Astyanax mexicanus: one gene and its partner. The main gene of each other region encodes a partner of the protein of the gene in region 2 in a complex. Links are inferred from orthologs where the notes say so. Each region holds a gene or a part of one and is shown on either strand. Other genes may lie near its edges.

What was found.
Region 1: the proteins of ints2 (region 2) and ints7 are in contact, whole or in part, in a cryo-EM structure (PDB 8RC4), measured with the Homo sapiens proteins. The link is inferred for Astyanax mexicanus from reciprocal best matches to the Homo sapiens genes INTS2 and INTS7. Residues at the interface, in NP_065799.2 of Homo sapiens: Gln27, Lys28, Val29, Cys48, Arg51, Met52, Cys55, Ala56, Ala58, Asp59, Gln60, Ser61, Trp64, Phe92, His93, Ala186, Glu187, Pro189, Ile194, Val218, Asp220, Ser221, Asn223, Glu224, Ser259, Leu262, Lys263, Arg265, His285, Gly294; in NP_056249.1 of Homo sapiens: Leu38, Gly39, Glu40, Cys42, Glu43, Val46, Arg47, Asn77, Phe78, Leu81, Cys82, Leu84, Lys85, Gln88, Gln89, Asn114, Asp115, Pro116, Val117, Ala120, Ile121, Arg124, Val153, Glu156, Val159, Phe160, Ala163, Leu195, Lys196, Pro199.

The regions. Positions count from the first base shown.
Region 1 is NC_064408.1:86,005,720-86,015,751, forward strand, and holds the start of ints7 (integrator complex subunit 7), read left to right. Parts: upstream 1-5,761; 5' UTR 5,762-5,872; coding exon 5,873-5,966; intron 5,967-6,713; coding exon 6,714-6,843; intron 6,844-7,138; coding exon 7,139-7,285; intron 7,286-7,553; coding exon 7,554-7,691; intron 7,692-8,021; coding exon 8,022-8,068; intron 8,069-8,175; coding exon 8,176-8,375; intron 8,376-8,627; coding exon 8,628-8,750; intron 8,751-8,956; coding exon 8,957-9,074; intron 9,075-10,032. Other genes in the region: dtl (denticleless protein homolog), read right to left, coding at 338-441, 551-624, 819-931, 1,110-1,175, 1,452-1,572, 1,931-1,992, 2,207-2,299, 2,453-2,578 and 1 more. UniProt on the Homo sapiens protein: Component of the integrator complex, a multiprotein complex that terminates RNA polymerase II (Pol II) transcription in the promoter-proximal region of genes.
Region 2 is NC_064427.1:13,881,495-13,892,014, reverse strand, and holds the start of ints2 (integrator complex subunit 2), read left to right. Parts: upstream 1-5,266; 5' UTR 5,267-5,359; intron 5,360-5,637; exon of another isoform or gene 5,638-6,044; intron 6,045-6,834; exon of another isoform or gene 6,835-6,839; 5' UTR 6,840-6,840; coding exon 6,841-7,133; intron 7,134-7,585; coding exon 7,586-7,724; intron 7,725-7,958; coding exon 7,959-8,061; intron 8,062-10,520. UniProt on the Homo sapiens protein: Component of the integrator complex, a multiprotein complex that terminates RNA polymerase II (Pol II) transcription in the promoter-proximal region of genes.

The DNA.
Region 1 (10,032 bases), on a different chromosome or scaffold from region 2:
GTGGAGAGACACACAGTCCAAGCTGCTTGAGGTCTAGTGTGAAGTTTCTACTGTCAGTAATGGTTTGTTGATCCACTGTGTTATATCAAGTCCAAAGTCAGTGCACTTCATTGATTGTCTGAAATAAACACTTAAAATTTATCATTCTATATACACCTATATAATATATGTGTTTTACATTTCGAACTGTGTTACTGAAAAAGTACCTTTTCAATGATATTATTTTTTTAAGATGCACTAGTATATATGTTTGTATGAGTTTAATGATGTCAAACACACCCCCACGCTGCAGTCGGAAGGTTGTTTGGCATTTGGGGACATTGTGAGATTACTGTACCTAATTTGCGGGTGCTGGAGCCGGGGTATTTATACGTCTGCAGAGGAATGGGGTTCTGGTGATAAGCAGTGTAGTTTTTACGCAAATCCCACATTTTAATCATCCTGCAGAGAGAAAGAGGGGGGGGGGGGTTAGACAGTTACCAGTGGAAAACACACCAGCCCTTGTAAACAGTAAATCCTTTGGTCATCATTTTTCTTTTATTTTACATACCCGTCTACAGCTCCTGAAGAGATGAGCGTGTTTTCATCACGAAAAAGAACTACAGTCACACCCCTCTGAGAGTCCTACAATGGACAGAGAGGTAAAAAAAAAAAAACATTAATTTCTAAATTCACTTAAATGTGAATTCTTATTGCCTATTACAACATGATATATACAATATATATTTATTTTTCTGTCAAGCATTATGCACATTGTGAAAGTATGCAACATTAAGAAAGCTGAGTGAAGCTGCCAGTGTAGAGGATTCCGCACTTACCACAGAAGGAGCCATTCCTCTGCATGAAGAACGTTTCTTCTTGTTCTGGGGTGTGTTTCCTGCTGTCTTCATGTGAGCTCCACTGATCTGCTTCACCTGCCTGTAGAAACCATCTGTACACACCAAAATATAATAAAAGACAATTTAGATCTACTCTTTGTGCAGGGTAAGGACTTTCAGGAATCATCTATAAAGGTTATTTTCCTTAGAACTTACATTTACCTACACTAGGTGGACAAAAAAAAACATTTGGGTACATTTTTTTAATTGTAGCCCTGAGCCCACTCTTACCTTTTTTACTACACCTTGTATCCCACACCATGATGTTACCGTCCCTGCCTCCTGTGCAGAATACAGCTGTGGAAAATGACAACATTTCAGTCAGCTCCAAAAAGAAAGACCTTCATGTGGTATTTCTACCTTTTCTACTTAATGTAAGTGACAGTCTTAATGTAGTGATAAACCAAAGTGGGGTGTCTAAAATTAAACTCAGAACCTAGATAATGAAAATCTGTCTACTTATTTTATGCAATTAAAACTGTGTGGTAAACTAGGTTTAGAAAGATAACCTGATTTAATCAAGTTTACAATTTCAAAACATTCTCAGTGTTTAAACATTCCTTTCGAGGTTACCTTTCTCTTGTTTCGGGAAAGACACAGACTTCAGGCTGCACTGGTGACCCTTAAAGCTGCCTAGAAGCTCCTCTGCAAGCACGTCCCACAAACGTGCTGTCTGATCCCCGGATGCAGTCACCTTAAAATATTAATAATAATAAATAATAAAAAAAAAAAAAAAAAAAAAAAAACAGTATCAACTCATGTTTACAATGTTAAGTGAATAGTTAAGAAACTGAAATTATCCAAGAAGCCACTACAGTTTTAAATCTGCTGTGTTATTAAATGTTCATTAATAAAAGAGGCAATACATGCATAATAAAGTCTATTAAACAATCCCACACATTTGAGTACAGTGTGTGATGATTAAGACAAGCAGTTAAAACCACACTAATTGGAGGACTACAAGTTTATTACCTACTAGTTATATTACAGTGGCATAAATTAACCAATTTCTTATTTTTTACTTGAAGATCAAATGCAAATTTCAAACTCACCAAGCTGTTCGCTCCAGGGACCCAGGCAATATCAAACACAGCATTATCATGTGCAGGCCATTCTGTAACAGAAATGTAATCATGTTGGACTTTTTGAATGCTTAGACACATGAAACACACACAACTGTAATATGTAAAAAAATATATGTTTCTTAGCAGGTTTTTAAGACCATAAACAAGGGAACATACAAAATATAGAAACCCATTTTATTTTATAGTATATTGAAATTTAACACATATTTGGAAAATATTTATTTGCAAACATTTAAAGCTTACCCTTTAGGACTGAGCTTTGTTTCTCAGCAGTTTTATAGATGGCCACAACACCCTCCTCATTCGCAACTGCCAGAGTGTTGTGCTGTCCAGGAGCTACAGTACGCAAACAGACAGAGTCACAGAGAGTACTAAGATTTCAGTTTCATATAAATTTATTTTAAAAAGTATATCAATGGCTGGAGGTTCTGAGGAGAAACATTTGAGAAAGTAAATACAAATGGTTTTAGATTTCTTTAAAAGCCAAACCTGTGGAAAATGAACATCCAAATGGAGGAACAGCAACTGCAGTGTTTCCGTATGAGATGTGTTCATCATGACGAGTGCACTGATAACACTCCAGCAGAGACGATACTGGATATTCTTGTCTGTTAACTGTTTTAAAAAAGGAAAAAATAAAGAATTATTCAGAGAGATGCATAGAGCTATGCATTTCAGGGTCAGGTTATATGGTAAACATAACCATCACAATAACTAAAGACATTTTCATTATAAACTATATTAATAGCAATATACTGGCAGACAAAATAGCATCAGAATATTATATAAGATGAATCGGTACTTTTGGCAGTGTGTGCAGTTCCAGTCTGCTAGAAAATGAAATCTGCACCTCCATAAAATCTGTCAGCATTTGTGCAAAAATTAGTATTTTTGCTTATTTCATCTCATGATGCTCCGCGACCACCTGTGGTAAATCACGACCCCCTTAGCTGATCATATCATTTGATTTTTCCCATTTAGGATAATGGTCTATATCAAGAGTCAATTTGGTAATTTATTTTATTGTCGTAAAATGTGACCGAGGCATTTTTAATAGCGTTCCAAGATGGAGCTTTACTAAACTAATTTTCACCATTCAGATCTTTGCGTAGTTTGTTAAAATGTAAAAAATGTTAACTCTCCTGTTTTTATCAACATATCTTACTGTTTAATTCACAACTGTCATATGTTTATGTTTCCTGAAAACTGAAAGATTAACAGGAAGTTATAAGATTATTTTAGGAAGGCGTGAATATAGATGCCATATAATCACTGGGCATCCCACCACAGCAGTAAAGAAGTCCTGAATGAAAGTGGGGGCTAATAAACAAACAAAAAAAAAGTACATGATGACTTAGTAGCAGTACTGTGAGCTATGCTGCCTCCTTCTGAGAGTGAATGGGGAAACCACAGTTTCAGTCCCACCTTTCTCAACCCAGACCAAAAAATATATCACCCAACATGTTTCACAAAGAGTAAAAATCTTCAGTTTAAGTCACTTCCGCCTAATAATGACGCGACCTTGAAGTGGGAGGAACTATAGCCTGGGAGGAAATCTCGCGCTCTGGAAACAGAGCTGCAGAAAGGCTGCATACAAGGGTTAACATGCGTTTCTTTGCAAGCATATACTGAAAAAGTTTAGACTGAAAAACAACCACAGTTCACAAGCTGTTGTTGGACACAGCTGAATAAATGGATATAGGTGTTTACAGTACGGCATCACTACAAAATAAACACACACTAGTTCCAGTATTATTAATAGGGTACAAATACTGCATTTCGCTTTTCTTCAATATATATTATGATATAAAAAAAATACCAATAACTTGTTTCAATAGTCAATGATCCAGAATGTATTAATAATCTCCAAAACTGTACAGGAGAGATAAAACCTTAAATAGAAAACCTTGTAATGGAAGTCAATGTAAATAGAGATATTGGTCATCATGAAATTTAGACATAAGTGTCAGTTTCTGTGTTCAAATTGAGATTTTTAAGACAGATATAGGTAATATAATTAGCTGATGGTCTTTTACAACAATCTATATAACCAATTACTCTGTCACATCAGTTTAACTAAGTAGATACAGCTAGTAGTAGGTAAGTTAGTTATTGGAGTTGATTAAGAATTTTTAACGCTAGGTTAACTTACTAGTTACTAGCTACTGTGTTTTATCCTTAAAGAGATGTTCCACTAAAACAGCAATATTAGGGCTACAAAAATACCCTGAATGATCTAAAATCTGAGGGATCGGAGTAGTTAGTTAGTTATACCTGTAGATAGCTGGGTAGATGTTTAATTATGTGTATAAAACTAGCTAAGCTAGCGTTAGCTACAGGAGGGGCTAATCCAATTTACAACATCTCTAAAATGGACTGAAAAACATCACAATCTGTGCAGATCCTCACAATCCCACTCACCTTTTCTCCTCCTGGTCACTCCCCGGTCAACCACGCACTGAAACAGCATAGTGATATAAAGATCTTCACACTTTAAAGCTTATTTTTCCAATCTTAACCTAAAAACTACTGAGATCCCGCTGCCCACCGCTTCCCGCGAACTGAAGCACAAAGCCAGAGAAACACGAAAGTACCCGCCGAACTGACGTCGCGACTTCTCATTGGTCAGCGGAGACCATGGTCCACGCCCACTTCAGAAACGCTGCGAGATGGCGGGCAGCAGAAAGAGGTTGTATCTCAAATGGCCTCCTGATGCCTACGTAGTGCACTATGTAGGGCTTGAAATAAACATAATTTACTCAAAGATCGTGAAATATGTATTAATAGAAGTAAATATGAATGTATCTACAGTCTCTACGGTACGTTGTACAGCATTTGCTCAAATAAGTGGGTCTAGTTTCCACAGTTCATGACTTAGGGCACTTTATAGGGAGTACAGCGTCATTTGGTATGTTTCCATATGTATATACGCCAAAAAAACTATAGTGTAAAATGCGTGGACAGCGATCATGCGCGGTAAATAATAAAAGCTATCTAAGTGCCTGATAATGACATGGACGGCTTTTCAGTAAATATAAAAAAACACAGTCTATGATAACTTCATGTTTTAAAGATACATGTTTAAAGTAGTAGAGACCCAGAATTGATTAAACGTACAAGTGCAATATATAAAAAGTGACTTGAGTGCAAGTTGAAGTATTCTTTACTAATGGTGTTGTCACTGAGTGGAATCAAATCCTCACAGCAATGTTCCAGACGTATTCTTAGGAATTGATGTTTTAGTCTGAATTTAAACTCCAGACTTAAGTGGAAGTACTAAAGTATTTAACTTTTTTTTTTTTTTTTTTACTTTTAACTTGATTAGTCAAAAACTGAATATAAACGTACAGTATTGTGTTATGCAGTTACTTTAGAAAGCAATGGAAAGTTTAAATATTGTATTGCAGGCAGGCAGCAGTGTGGTATTTTTATAAAACTGCTTGATTGATGGATTCACTCAGTGATAAGGAGCTTCTTAAAGCTACCACTCCGGCATTGGTAATGAGTAACAATGCAGCATATACAAATAAATTATCAGATGAAATATATAAAATATGTGGTAAATTAAAAATAAAACTCTGGAAGAGCACAGATACAGCAATTTATCAATAATATTGCAAATAAACGTTTTTATCAAGAGAACAATAAATGGATATCTGCTTGCTTTTCTACAGGCGTCTGGACAACTGGACACTGATATATGGGGTTGCATTTACATTTATAATACACTTGTTGGGTCAGTTTTAGTATATTCAGATGTTTATTTTTTTGTGTAAGTTACCTGAATCTCCGGCCTGCAGGAGGCAGCAGTGAGTCATAACACTTAAGATAACGAGAACAAGGATGGATGTGTAGAGGAGCTTTTATCAGTTTAAAATAAGGGTTTAATTTAAATGAATGTGATTAAAAATGTCTCTTTCTACAGCGCGGTCTTTCTTATCGGAGGCTGGATATGGAGAGCAGGAGCTGGATGCTAATTCAGCCCTAATGGAGCTGGACAAAGGTCTGTAGGCTAATGCTAACAGCGGCTAGCGTTAGCTTAGCTTTAGCAACGGTGTCTGATTAGCAACCGAGCGATTAGCCTCTCCCCCATTCTGTTCAGTGTAGCCTAGCCTAGCCTAGCATAGCTGTTTTATTTCACATAAATAAAAATAGTGCACAACTGTTAAATATAGGGCAGTATAGGCAGAATATCAGTCACACCCTGGCTGGAGAAGTACTTTATTTATGAAGAACAGTACACTGCAGGGTCTTGATTTAGTAATAAAGTGTGTTAAAGTTATCCATACAGATCTCTGTTCATAAATATTAAATTAAATTCAAAATAGTAATACATGATTCAGTTCATTAGTTTGCATAGCGATTGTTAAGGGGGTGTTATATCCTTTAGAACTAAACAGACAGGTTTTGATGTTGCACCTTTAATAAGACTTATGTAAATTAGCTCTGTTCTAATTGTTTAACACATATTATGCCTCTTTACTGAAGTAGTCTGAGCTGAAACTCTGGGTGGAACGAAACTACTGTAGGCAAATATGTGTTAATCAGCTGGATTTTACGAACTTATCATGCCCAAAACTAAATGATAAAAAATTATAAACAATTATAAACAATGTTATTAAGCTACACGAATTTGTTTTATTGCAGTATAGATGTGTACATTCATATTATCATGTTCAATGGCTCTATTCATTTTTATGTTGCTAATTTCCTCTTTTTTCTGTACTCATTTATATGGTGACAACCCAAGGACTGAGATCCTGTAAACTGGGGGAACAGTGTGAAGCTGTGGTCCTTTTCCCTAAACTTTTCCAGAAATATCCGTTCCCTATCCTCATCAATTCTGCCTTTCTCAAACTGGCTGACATTTTCAGACTGGGGTATGTACAATGGAAAATATGTGTTAAAACTGAAATCTACATAAGGAAAGATTACCTTACTTTGTTCTTGGCCAAGAGTTACCTTTACATCATTATAATAACACAAGTATGGAAATATGTTGATATTAGGAAGTTACTCAGAGAATTTCCATGTGGATAACACTGCACTTTATGTTAAAAACTTTTTTTCTATTCTTTAGTTGCAGAAGAAGGGAGTCATTTTTACACTCCTTTCTTTTTAAGCTAATGTAATCTGTAATGTAAAAAAAATACTTTTGTCTTTTTGTTTCCTCAGGAATAACTTCTTGCGGCTCTGTGTACTTAAAGTGACCCAGCAAAGTGAAAAGCACTTGGAGAAGATTCTAAATGTGGACGAGTTCGTTAAACGTGTCTTTTCGGTCATCCATAGCAATGACCCTGTGGCCAGAGCTATTACTCTTAGGTAAGGAAATATTATTTTGCAGGCATTTGAGCTGCAACTGGCTAACCAAGCTGCACAGACAATGTATTGTGCTTTTTATCACACACAAATAACAGTCTACTATTCTACTTAAAAACACAAATGTCATGTGGTTTAAAATTGTATCTGCATTTCCACAAATGGCACTTCTTTCTGAGCTATGACTGTAATATTTATCATCTGTGACTAAAGGTTAAATAAAGTTGAGGACCATTGTAGCTTTAAAGTGTTTTTTAATGTTTAATGACAGAATGCTGGGCAGTCTCGCATCCATCATCCCTGAGAGGAAAAATGCCCATCACAGTATCCGCCAGAGTCTGGATTCTCATGATAACGTTGAAGTGGAAGCGGCTATTTTTGCAGCTGCCAGCTTCTCATCCCAGTCAAAGTAAGATCATGCAGACACAGTGTTGTAAAGAAATATTTGACCAATACATGAAAATGACACTATTTCCATTAGTTTAAATTTGACAAGACACTTTGTATAAAATTGATCAATAATACCAACATATTTGGCTGTTAGTATTTTTTTTAGCTAAATCAGTATGTCAAATAGTCCCAAACACAACTCAAACAATCAGTATGAGATTACTTAATAGCCAAAAATGTCTTGGTTGAACAAATGCACTTGGGATAGGGTAAGATTTATAGAGTTGAGTTATATTTTTGACTGAAAGCAGATTTGATTTACCTTTTTTCTTCATTTTCTCACTTTCAGAGACTTTGCAGCAGGTATCTGCAACAAGATCAGTGAGATGATTCAAGGTAATTCCCTTGTTTGATTCTGTGGATGTAGTTGTGCAGTTTTATTTTCTTTTTTTATTTAACACCAGTGTGTTTAACATTTACAAATTGGCACTTTTCTCTCTTAGGTTTGGACACTCCAGTGGATCTGAAGCTAAAGCTGATCCCCATGCTGCAGTACATGCACCATGATGCTGCTCTGGCCTCCAGTAGCCGGGAATTGCTGCAGGAGCTGGTGTCCTCATATCCATCCACCCCCATGGTCATTGTTAGCCTGCACACGTTCACCCAGCTGGCCATTTCCTCACTCATCGAAATCCCCAAACAGGTCTGATTACAAATACTGTACTCAGCATGCACATGATCATTCTGCGGTTAGCCTTATAAAAAGTTATATTGTAACGTTATGATAATTGTATTATTTGATTTAATTTATAAATACCATTACACCATTCTCTTTCATAAGACAATAGAGAATGTTGGAAATGTTTTGTTGATTGAACCATAAAGCCTCTCATCTTGGCTGATGCTGATGTGGAATATCCAGGCTACATTTATTTATTTATTTATCTTTTTGCAGATTCAGTTGCTTCTGCAGTATCTGAAGGATGACCCCAGAAAAGCAGTGAAAAGGCTTGCTCTGCAGGACCTAAAACTGCTGGCCAAGAAAGCTCCTCACACATGGACAAAAAAGAACATACAGGTAAAATCCTGCATACTTCTACTGAAGCAGGGATTACATTTTAATAGAACTGTGTATATGTATGTTAGAACTGCCACAGAAGTACTCTAGTGCTGTTGACCAGTTTTGTTTTATGAGATATGGGAGATATTCTTGCTCAGTTTTGTGCTTTTCTGGTTCAAATCACTGTCTGTATCTGTGTGTCTGTATATTTGTATATGTTGTAGACAATGTGCGAGTGTGCCCTGAGCACCCCCTATGACACTCTAAAGCTGGGCATGGCCTCAGTCCTTTCCACTCTTTCTGGAACCATCGCCATAAAACAGTACTTTAGCTCAGCTACAGGTAAGAAGATGATAACCTTTATTTCTACACTGTATAAACAAATGTGTGCATATATGTGTGTGATATACAAAGATATACTACTGAAAATGGTCCTTAGAATCAACAGTGGAACCCTTTTTGAGGTTGTACCAGTGTCCTGGTTCTGGCACCATCCTGACCTGACCTGAGGGCTGTTTTAAAATAATGGCTCCTTTGTATACAGCCGAGAAATGCAGCCAACATTCGGAGCGATTTCAATGGCCGTTAATGATGTAGCATGATGTATCCTTAATGGTCCTTGGTTACCCACAATTCATTGTGCACATACAATGTGAAAGAAATAGTTCTGCACCACATTATCACCATGTGACTATCATGTGTGACATTACCATGAAACCTTCTTAGACTGTTCCATGTGTGACCAATAGGCTACTTAGAAGGATCTAAGGTCTTCATAGGACCTGGCCTACTTTGACTGCATCCTAGGCTTTGGAACACAACTTATTAAAATGCAACAACTTGTTAATAAGCTGATTAGTTGAATCAGGTGTGTTGGGAGAAGGGAAGGCAGTAATGAATGTTTATGGCATGGTGTGGTCAATAGTATTGCATAGAAGTACTGCTTTTACCAACAGACCTTTTGTAAATTGTTTAATTGCTATGGTAATGTTTTCTTGTGTAGTATTAGGTAATAAACTCTAGTAATGTTCTGATATTGTCTGTAGTATTATGTGCTTCATCACAGCATATTTCTGTTAATGTTTCCATATTCATTCTAATAGAGAACTTAATATTATAAAAGTAAAAATTTAGACGATTTAGTCACTCCAATGGATTTTCTTGCAACATTTAAACATTGACCAAAACCTGACCTGTTTATAACAAAAAACAATATAAAAAAAATTAATAAAGATACAGTAATGTGCAGATGTTCTAGGCACCAAAACACATTATTTATTATGATTTGTCTCTGTAATAC
Region 2 (10,520 bases):
TTTGAAGCAAGCTATCCTAGACTAACACAAATTAATATTAGTTGCTTGTAATGTTTTTTAGGTTACGGATATAGTCACATCCTGTGTAGATTACATTGATGTCTAATTCAAAACATCTGAATATTTTAATACATTAAATTTAAGCTATAACTTGATTCACATTCCGACTGTAATCCACTGTGTCCACGACCACTTTTTATAGATGGCAGTGTCACAAAAACATAGGGTCCTGGAACTGCAGTCCTGAAACTGTGGTCTTAAAACTGCAGTCTCTGGGGTTGCAGCTTTACCCTTCTCGGTTGTGCTGTTGTGAGTGAGTGGAATGACCTTAATGGGCAGGGTTTATTCCCAGCAGCCAATGACAGGGTCACAACCGGATTTCTTATGAAACAGATTTCTTACGAACTTTGTAAAAAAAAAAAAAAAAAAAAGCTGCACAAGAATGACCAGTACATGTTTTGAATATATATGTGTTATTAGATTTAGAGATTTAAAAAAGATAAAAAAAAAAACAAGCAAATGGCACCCAATCAGTGGAATGGACCATATGGTGTTTTAGGGCCATACCAAAAAAACAAACAGTTCACTTCGAGAGTAAAGACAAAATAATTACAAGAACAAATTTGTTATATTATAAGAATAAAGATGTAATTTTACGAGAATAAAGACGTTACATTACGAAAATAATGTTATATTATGAGAATTTCTTACGTCTATTCCCATAATATTAAGTCTTTATTCTCGTGATATAACGTCTTTATTCTTGTAATATTATGTCTTTATTCTCATAATATTAGGACTTTATTTTCTTGTTATATTACGTCTCAAAATATAACAACTTTTTTCTCGTAATATTACGTCTTTATTCTCGTTACGTCTTTATTTTCGTAATAACTACGTGCTATAGTGTGAAGGTGTAAAATGACGCAACCACTAAAGCATACCTTCATTGGCACTATAGCAAAGCCGTTTAAGTTTTGACTCCTGAACCATAGGTTCTATTGACAAAATTCTTTTTTTAGGCTTATTAGGCTATGAGGTTCCGCCCAATTAATAATTTGCATAATATGCAAAACCTACTTTGGCAAACTAGTCCCAAATCCTGACATGTTTAATGTCAAACAACTCGGCAGAGTACAAACCTTAATAATTATCAAAAAAGTTAAAATTTGCAAACAATATGTTCGTCATATGCAAATTAGTATTACCATGGCACAGCCAAACTAACTCTTACAGTTACATTGAATGCTTAACCTGACAGTAAACCCACTTCAGACCTACTAGCATGATTTTGAGGTACCTGGTCAAATCATGTAGACATAGGGGAGACTGTCATTCCGATAGTCCAAGGAAATGTTCAAGCCACCGACATCATTTATCTTCAAACTACAAGGAAAAGTTAAATTCTGAGATAAAGTATTTTTATTTTTTATTTTTTGTCTTTTGCAATTGCTGTTAATGTTGTAAGTGTTATATCAGGTGAAAGTACAGTTTATGGAGTAATGAATGGTGTAACTGTCTCTTGCTAATGTTAAAGCACCATGCTTATTTAGCTAGCTAAACAAAGAATGACAGGGGTGGGGTAGGTTGTAACAAGACTTTTTGGAAATGTTACAACCATCCCCGGGCATTAACATTATAGTTTTTTTTGTGATTTTAATTCTCCAGAATGCCTAGAATGGGTGAGGAAAACAGAAAGAGGAGTGGATGCCAAAATTCTAGAAAGAGCAGCAGAGGAGGTTAAGAACGGACAATCAGTCACTTTGTACAGATACTACAGAAAAATTCAAGGTTTTAAAAGACCAGGGCTCAAAGGACCTTCCACGTGTTGGATATGTCAGTCCTTTTTTGAGCAAATTCAATTGAATTTTTGGTTAGCACTAAATAAATAAATGAGTAAATAAATAAAATAAATAAATAAGTAAACAAATTGGCAAATGAAATGAAGTTCCATTGTTTTCTTTGTATTTTTGTTTATCTGTTACAACTGACCCCGGCAGGTGTTACAACCTACCCCGGTAGTGGGATGATTGTAACAAAAGAACACTCTGTATTTGACATGATCTGACAAGTTATGGGATATAATGGAGGACATTTAAATGGTTATAATTTGTAGTAGACAAATGTGGGTGCTTTGTCAAAAAGTTTCATATCTGTACCTTTTTAAAAATAGGTAGTTTGGGGTGTTTTCCAAAAAGTGTTACTTTCATACCCGGTCTCCCCTATGCCCCCAAGGGGCGGAGCCAATGATGGAAAACCATACAAGAACCATACAAGCTACCAAGCTCATAGTTGGCAAATACCAGTGAGGGCTTATCTACTAATGGTACTCTCAGAGAGAATTTGATATTAAAATTTTTGTGATCGCTATTAGATTCCATCAAGCTTTTGACAGGCTAAACATTGACCAATGACGACGAAACTTATTGTCTTTATGTAAATAAGGGCCTCCTATCATCCATTAAAGTATTGAATTGATTGGCCTCTCGGGGGCGCTATAGCAGAAAATCAGTTAAATCAGAATATACTTGTAGCATAAGCATATTATTCTTTTTGATTTTTATGCATTGCTGAAGCCTTTGTAATTACATATTTCTACCAAAAATGCATTGTTTTTCATCTGTGGCCATTAGTGTAAAAATTACACTTTTCGAAACTTTGAATATTCAACCAAGTAAATCAGCATTGGCCTTGCTGCAATCTTGAGAGGTAAATAATTATCAAAAAAAATCTTGAGATTTTAACTTTTTGTGGCACCAACACCTTGATCAAACAGGTACGTGAAACTCTGTCAAAGTTTATGTCATGTCAAAAGTATTGAAGACTCCAATAAACAATGACATTTCAATCCCATGTGCCAAGTATGAGCTAAGTGAGTCTTCAGGAGGCTCTACATTGACAAATTAACTATTGTACATTTTTACCATTTATCGCTATTTTTTAACCTAAATGGACAGGAGACAGGAACCTTTGGGCCTATTAACATACAAATTTACATACATATATATACACTGATATTATGATCTTGATTCCCAATTTTAAGTCATATTGGATTTTTTTCCCTATAAAAGGCCACAAAATCTACTGTGATTGTGAAGGTTTGAGGCCTAATGTATTGCTATTTTCAAAACTAAAAGACCTCAGCTTTGACCCTATCAACACAAAAGCTTAAACATATATATACAGACTACCTGATCATGATTAATAATGTTGAGCCAAATCGGACTTTTCTCTACAATCATTAAAAATCTAATGATAAGCATATTTCTCTCTCACAGATGGATAGATTCTCAGCAGGTTTTATATGGTGTCTTGCTGCACTCTGGTGGTCATTTGGTGAAACAACTGCAATTTATTAATTTTAAATTAAAGCTCTGCTGAACTCTCTAGCTCATTTGAACTTGCTGGTCTTGCTGGTTGAACATCTTTATCCTTCTTGGTCATGCTGGTCAGCCACATTGGTCATTCTTGTTGTGCTCCACCCACTTAGGTTTTTTGCAAATTTGCATAGTATGCAAAACATACTTTTGAGAACTTCTCATTGGCTCATTGACCAATCATGACATGTTTGGTGTCAAACAGCTCAGCAAAGCAAAAGCCTTAATAATTATTTTAAAAATATTGAACTTTATAAACAATATGTCCGCCATATGCAAATTAGTCCTTCCATGGTGCAGCAAAATGTCTTCTAACACTTACAACTTTATTAACATTAATACCACTTCAGTCCTTTGATCATAACATGATTCTCAGATACCCTGTCAGTTTATCCAGACATACACCACAGGAGTGTTACTCTTTCTCTAGAACCATACAAGCTATCAAGTTCAGCCTTGGCAATTATCATCTATTGTCTATGTACTAATGGGACGACAAAGGAAAAATTGATGTCATTTTTTGTGGTCACTATTAGCCACATTCACATTCCAGCAAGCTTTTGACAGGCTGAATGTTAACCAATCAGGTCAAAACTTATACACTATATGTAGGCTATTTCCAATTTAAGAACTGGAGTTGTTTCTTCAAATGACCACTAGAGTGCAACAAGACACCACATAAAGCTGCTGAACAATATACCTCAATTGATCAGTGTTTTTCAACTAGTTTAAAAAATAAATGAGTGTGGAAAAATCCACAGCAATATTTGTCCTTCTTTAGGATTTTGACAGTCTTAGTGTGTATTAGGTATGATAGTTTTCTAGACGACTTAAGACTGACGAGATAATGGCCTGGGAATTAGGCCAAAAGTGAAAGCTATAACGTTTTAATTAATATCATCTAATTTTATTCATATTTTATTCCACTTCGCAATGTGTTCTGCCCTTTATTCAGAGCGTTTGCACAGCGCTTTGCTTGCATGCTGTTTTTTACTGTTAAAATGCGCCATCTACAGGCGGCCGCATGTATGTTCAGCCAGCATGAACGGAAATCTGAATAAGACACTGGCGAATAAGAAGCTAACTTCAGCCTCGTGCGTCCAGAAACCCCAAAAGTGTCTCCTTTTTCCTACCGGTCCTCCTCCTCTCCTCCGTGACCCGGAAACTGATTTCGTAACGCCATCTTGCCGCCTGTCCGAATACCGTAGGAGACGAAAGAAGCCGCTTAAAATCTGCCTCGAATAGGCTTCCAACAGAGGTTACATCAGTGCATCCTACTCCGGAAGACTTTTAGTGATTTTCCAATGACATCACTGCATCCACGCCCACAGAGCACGCGGGAATGGAGAAGACAACGCACAAATGTACTTCATAAGCATATTAATTAACTAGGTTCCTTGTCTAATTAAACAGCCAGTAAAGCAGTAATAAAATGTTTAGTTTAGGTAAGCTGTGTGTTCAGTAAAACTATATTAATGACCCTATATGTAACATATTGTTGTAAATATACACATCATTTCCACATGTATGAAAAATATATTTATTATTATATTTATTATTTATTAATTAGTTTTTTTGTTTTATTACATTCAATGTAATCACATTTTACTATTAAAATAATTTAATATTTACATATGCAACCTTCATCAGGCTGTACTTTTAAAGCTTAATATGCTTGTCAAAGTTATGATCTCTAGAATTTGGAATTGTGTTTATTGATTTCTCGTTTTTATTTTTGTATGCGGAAGCTGTGATTGGCTGGGCAGTATCCGGCATGTGCTGAAAGTGAGCGTTGTGATTGGCTCAGTTCAAAGGTGGTCAACATCCTATCTAAAAGGGATCAGCTGTCCCATTTCCCCAATTACAGCTCCTTCCCTCCATTCCTCCACCTTCTTCTGGGTAGGAGAGGAGTAGCAAAAGTTGCTGGACGCAGCCAGTGTGTGAAGTGAACTGTTTTTTTTTTGGTATGGCATTAAAACGACGTACGTAACGTAACTGTTCTAATTTTGGAGTTTCCATTAGCTGTAAGCTAATCAACATTAAAAGTTGAATAAATAAGCGCAATGAAAAGATAACTAAAATACGGAAATAATAAACAATTTAATTATATTCTATTTTTTAATGCACTTGTATGTAATATTGAACAATTTCCCTGAATAAAATAGATTTCTCATTTGTTTGATTTGCTTCATAGGATATGTGTGCACAATGTATGAAAGGGGTTTACAAACTTCCAAACGTCCACTGCAGCTCGGTTAGCTAACCGAGGTCATCTGCAGAACATGAGTGCTTTATTTCCCGAGGTCTAGCCTTGTGTTGTACTTGTTAGCCTCCTAGCCCGGCCATCCGCTGCGCTGCAGCTCACAGAACAAGCTAGTCGGTACTGAGCGCTTCGCAGAAGAATTTAAACTAATAGAAGTATAAACAGTGGTGGCTAGCTAACGCTACTTGTTTTAGGAATAATTAAATAATCTGGTTCGTTAACTGTAGATCAGCTTCAGGCTTCGCTAACGTGCATGAGCTAAGTGAACGGTTCGGATCTCGTTGAATGGCTTTCACTGCTAGCCAGCTTGTTAGCCGAGTGTGTCGGCTTGAGGTGCCACGGCATTGTCTGCCCGGGCCTCGCTAAAGTCTCTCAGATTTTTACAAGCTGCTGTAAAGTTCCAGGTAAGAAGTTCTCAGTTACATAAACAATATTCTAGTGAAGCGTGGCACACAGCTGCCTGGTAGCTAAAAACTGGTGTAGTTAACCACTATCGTTTGTGTTGGACTGAGCTAGCTAACTAGCCAGCCAACGCTATGCTTACTAGCTAGCTAGCTATCTTCACTTCAGACTTCAGCGAGGTTAAGAATAACGTTTGCGCATTTAAGCAAATGGTTTTAGTTCATTTTAGTTGCACAACCACGAGTACTTACTAAACATGACGCACTTAGTTAGGTAACTAGCAAAATTACTGCTCTCTATATTTACTATTGTTAGCTAGCAAGCTAGCCACTTAACCTAGCTCGGTTATGTAGCGTTAGCTTTGACTGATTCCTTTTTTGGTGGACTACTTTAGGCTGCAGGGTTTATTACATTAAGTCAACTTTCACATGTGGAACATAGGCTGGTTGGGTAGGTTTCAGGTGGGCATGGGCTCTGAGTGGGTTTGTGCTGGTTTTTATTGTTTACAGGCACCAGTGCAGTGTACAACAACGATGGGGCCCATGTTTAATCCCTCCTGGTTGTATCACTTCAACGATTTTCTTCTGGTTTTCAACTGGGCTGCCCAAGCCACATGGACACGTTATCTGTAGGCTTAAAATAGTTATAAAAACTCGCTGCATTGAATAACTATGCAAAATACCTAAACGTGTGAATGCAGCTAAAAATTTGCCAAATTAACTGGATATGTCTAATCTCTAGTGTTGGTGATGATCATGTAACTTCCCTGTGAACTTGTGTTTCCTTTTGCAGAGCAGAATGACAGAAACTTCAGGGCTTCAGTTTGTGAGCCCATATGCCTTTGAGGCCATGCAGAAGGTGGACGTGATGCGCCTTGCAGCTTTGAGTGATCCTGAGCTGAGGCTTCTGTTGCCATGCCTGGTGAGGATGGCACTGTGTGCCCCTGCTGACCAGAGCAATGCCTGGGCACAGGATAAGAAGCTCATCCTGCGCCTGCTGTCCGGTGTAGAGGCAGTGAACTCCATAGTGGCACTGCTTTCTGTGGACTTTCATGCCCTGGAGCAGGATGCCAGGAAAGAACAGCAACTCAGGTGAATCCCCAAGGACCCATCAACATTTTAATACGCTAGGGTATTTCTGGGGCTATATAGTTTCCTGTGTACATGAATGATGAATGATGAAAAAACATGCATTCCTGTTTAGATGAATAAAATTGTGCTTTAGGAATTGTAAAAGGCCTTTCTAAAATAGTTTTGCATTTAAACACTTTCTCCACTGTCCATGTTGGTTTGCAGTATTCCTATGAGGTTTGTTTATGGAAAATTGATTGGAAAACCTGAATGTGGTACGTTAGGACACAGTTGGAGACCTTGTGTTTTAATAGTATATATTTATAATAGTATCGATTGTCCAAAAAATAGAACTTCACATTTCCCTGGTTGTTCTATTGTTCTCATTGGAAGTGTTACCTAATTAGATGTTTTTGTTTGTTAACAAAAAAAACACACCAACCATTTAAATAAGTGTTGTCTTCTCATTACAGGCATAAGGCTGGAGGGTCAAATGGCGAGAGTATCCTTGTTTCCCAGCTGCAGCATGGGCTTACACTGGAGTTTGAACACAGTGACCCACTAAGGAGACTCAGACTGTCTCTAAGTGAGCTGCTGGCCATCATGAACAAGGTTCTTATGTCAATGTTTTGTGTGGACATGAACAACCCACTTGTGCATTTTTATTTCAAGCGTAGAGAGGCTCATTACATCTGAGTTCAAGTATACAGTGGAGTAAAATTCTGTTTCTCTAGAGCTATGGGGAAACATGGATCAAACAGCATAATATTAATAATTGAATACAACAGCTTTAACTGATTATATCATCCAAGATATCTAATCAAATCAGTTTTATTTGTTATACAGGTAGCTGACTCCAATGGGGAGTTTTTTCTAAAGACCTCTGAGCTATTTGAGAGTCCTGTGTACCTGGAAGAGGTAGCCGATGTCCTCTGCATCCTTCAAGCAGGTAGATATTGTAGCTGCAGTTTACTTTCTGAGTACTTTCTGGAATTTCCAAGTAAAATATGCTTACTTGTAAATCTGCTTTTACTGTAGCTGCTAATGCTTTTTAAAATTAATGGATACAAGATCTCATCCTCTCACAGCTGATCACTGAGTCAACCCAGCCAAACCTAAAAAAAACCTCCAAATCTACCCTGATTGATTTAATCTTTTCTAACAAAACAGATAAAATCACTGCCGCTGGAGTTTTTGAACTTGGCTTTAGTGATCATTGTTCGATCTGGTGCATTAGAACCAGTTCAAAGATACAAACGGGCTCTCGGATGGTGGTTAGAAGAAATAAAAAATAATAATAATGAACAAGCTTTACTTTCTGACTTAGCAGTGAGCAAAATTCACTTAACTTTTGAAAGTACAGATGTGGATGTTGCATTAAAACATTTCAGGAAATCATTCCTTTCAGTGGCGAATAAACATGCTCCATACAAAAAACTGCAAGAAGCATGTTTATTCGCCACTGCAAAAAAACTGCAAATAAGAGACAGATCTAGCCCCTGGTTTTCAGGAGAAATTTCCTCACTGCTACAGTCAAAAAATAAAGCCTGGTCAATAGCCAGATGCACAGGGGAAGGTGAAAAATGGCTCACATTTAGACAATTGAGAAACAGATGCACCTCTCCAATTAGAAAAGCCAAATCAGATTATTTCCTCAACCAAATTACCAGCTCCTCTAATCCACAAGATTTCTGGAAAGCAGTAAACTTCCTCAAAAACAACTCCCAACAAATCCCAACTAAAATTCTAGTCAATAGTATTTTGATCTCCAGCAAGAACTGTGCCAAGCTTTTAATGTACACTTTGCTGCAGCTGGTCAGATATTTAATAACACTGACTCAAACCTACCTGTAAATCTGCGTGTCATTACTACTACTGCTTCCCAGAAAATCAATATCTTCCCCTCCAGACCAGCTCTCCATACATAGTGGCTAACGCCCTTTCTTCTATTAATCCTCGGAAAACAATAGGTGAGGACGGTCTGGACCCCTACCTTCTTCGTCTCACAACCCCAGTTATTTTAGAACATATTCCATAATTTTTTAATCTTTCTATTTTATCTTGTAGAATTCCCAGTATCTGGAAATCAGCTCATGTTATTCCTCTGCATAAAGGGGGAGATGCGGCAGATCTAAATAATTACAGACCAATCTCAAAACTGTCTTGTTTATCTAAAATTTTAGAATCCCTAGTGAATAACCAGCTCATGTCTTTTCTCTATGAAAACTTTATCCTGTATAACTATCAATCTGGATTTAGAGAAAGACATAGTACCATCTCTGCAACTCTGGTTTTAAATGATCTATACATGGCCCTAGACAAGAAGTACTGTGCTGCCATTTTTATTCATCTCACAAAAGCTTTTGATACTGTTGATCATGATCTACTATTATGTTCTTTACATAAGATCGGTTTTAGCAATAATGCAACCCTGTGGGCACAGGATTACATTTCTGGCAGGAAGCAATGTGTGTCTATTGGTTACCATAAATCAGAGCTACAGCCCATAACAAATGCAGTGCCCCAGGGCTCAATCCTGGGTCCAGTTTTATTTAATATTTTTATCAATGATCTTGCCACCTCTACCTTAGACTGCAAATTACATCTTTATGCAGATGATTCAATCTTATACTGCTCAGCAGACTCTGCACATGCTGCAATAGTAAAACTTCAACATTCTTTTAACACTACAGACTGCTCTATTTGAACTCAAGTTGGTTTTGAATTAAATAAAACCAAATTCATGCTGTTTTCCAGATTTCCAAATATTATTTTAAATTCTGGAAATATTACTATTCTGACAGGATCCACCATTGAACAAGTTAGCGAATATTAATATCTTGGCATCTGGCTCGATAAAAAACTCTTTTAAATCCCACATTAACAAACTCGCCATTAAGTGCAGACAAAAGCTTGGATTCCTTTATCAGAATAAATCCTGTTTACCCGTGCACGCCAGAAAAAGAATAGTGGAGGCAACCATACTAGCAAAAGCGTCTGCCAGTGCTCTCAAACCATCTACCATTCTGCTCTGAGATTTATTACTGGCGACCCTTACACTACTCACCACTGCACACTATCTGATAGAGTTGGTTGGTTCTCGCTAGCTGCACGAAGAGAATCTCATTGGCTAATTTTTATCTATAAAGTCATTCTCTGGGCATTTGCCATCTTATATATCTTCACTGATCTCACTTAATAATAATGCATATCAGACTCGCTCCAGTGCCTGGATCACCTGTCAGGTACTGAGAGTTTTTAGTGAACTGGGAAAATCTGCTTTTAGCTACAGAGCACCAGCGAGCTGGAATTCACTACAGGAAACGTTGAAGCTCAGCTCACTGGGATCACTGACCATTTTAAACTTTTAGTTTCTAATCACCATCAGAAAGCCTGTGACTGTTTTAA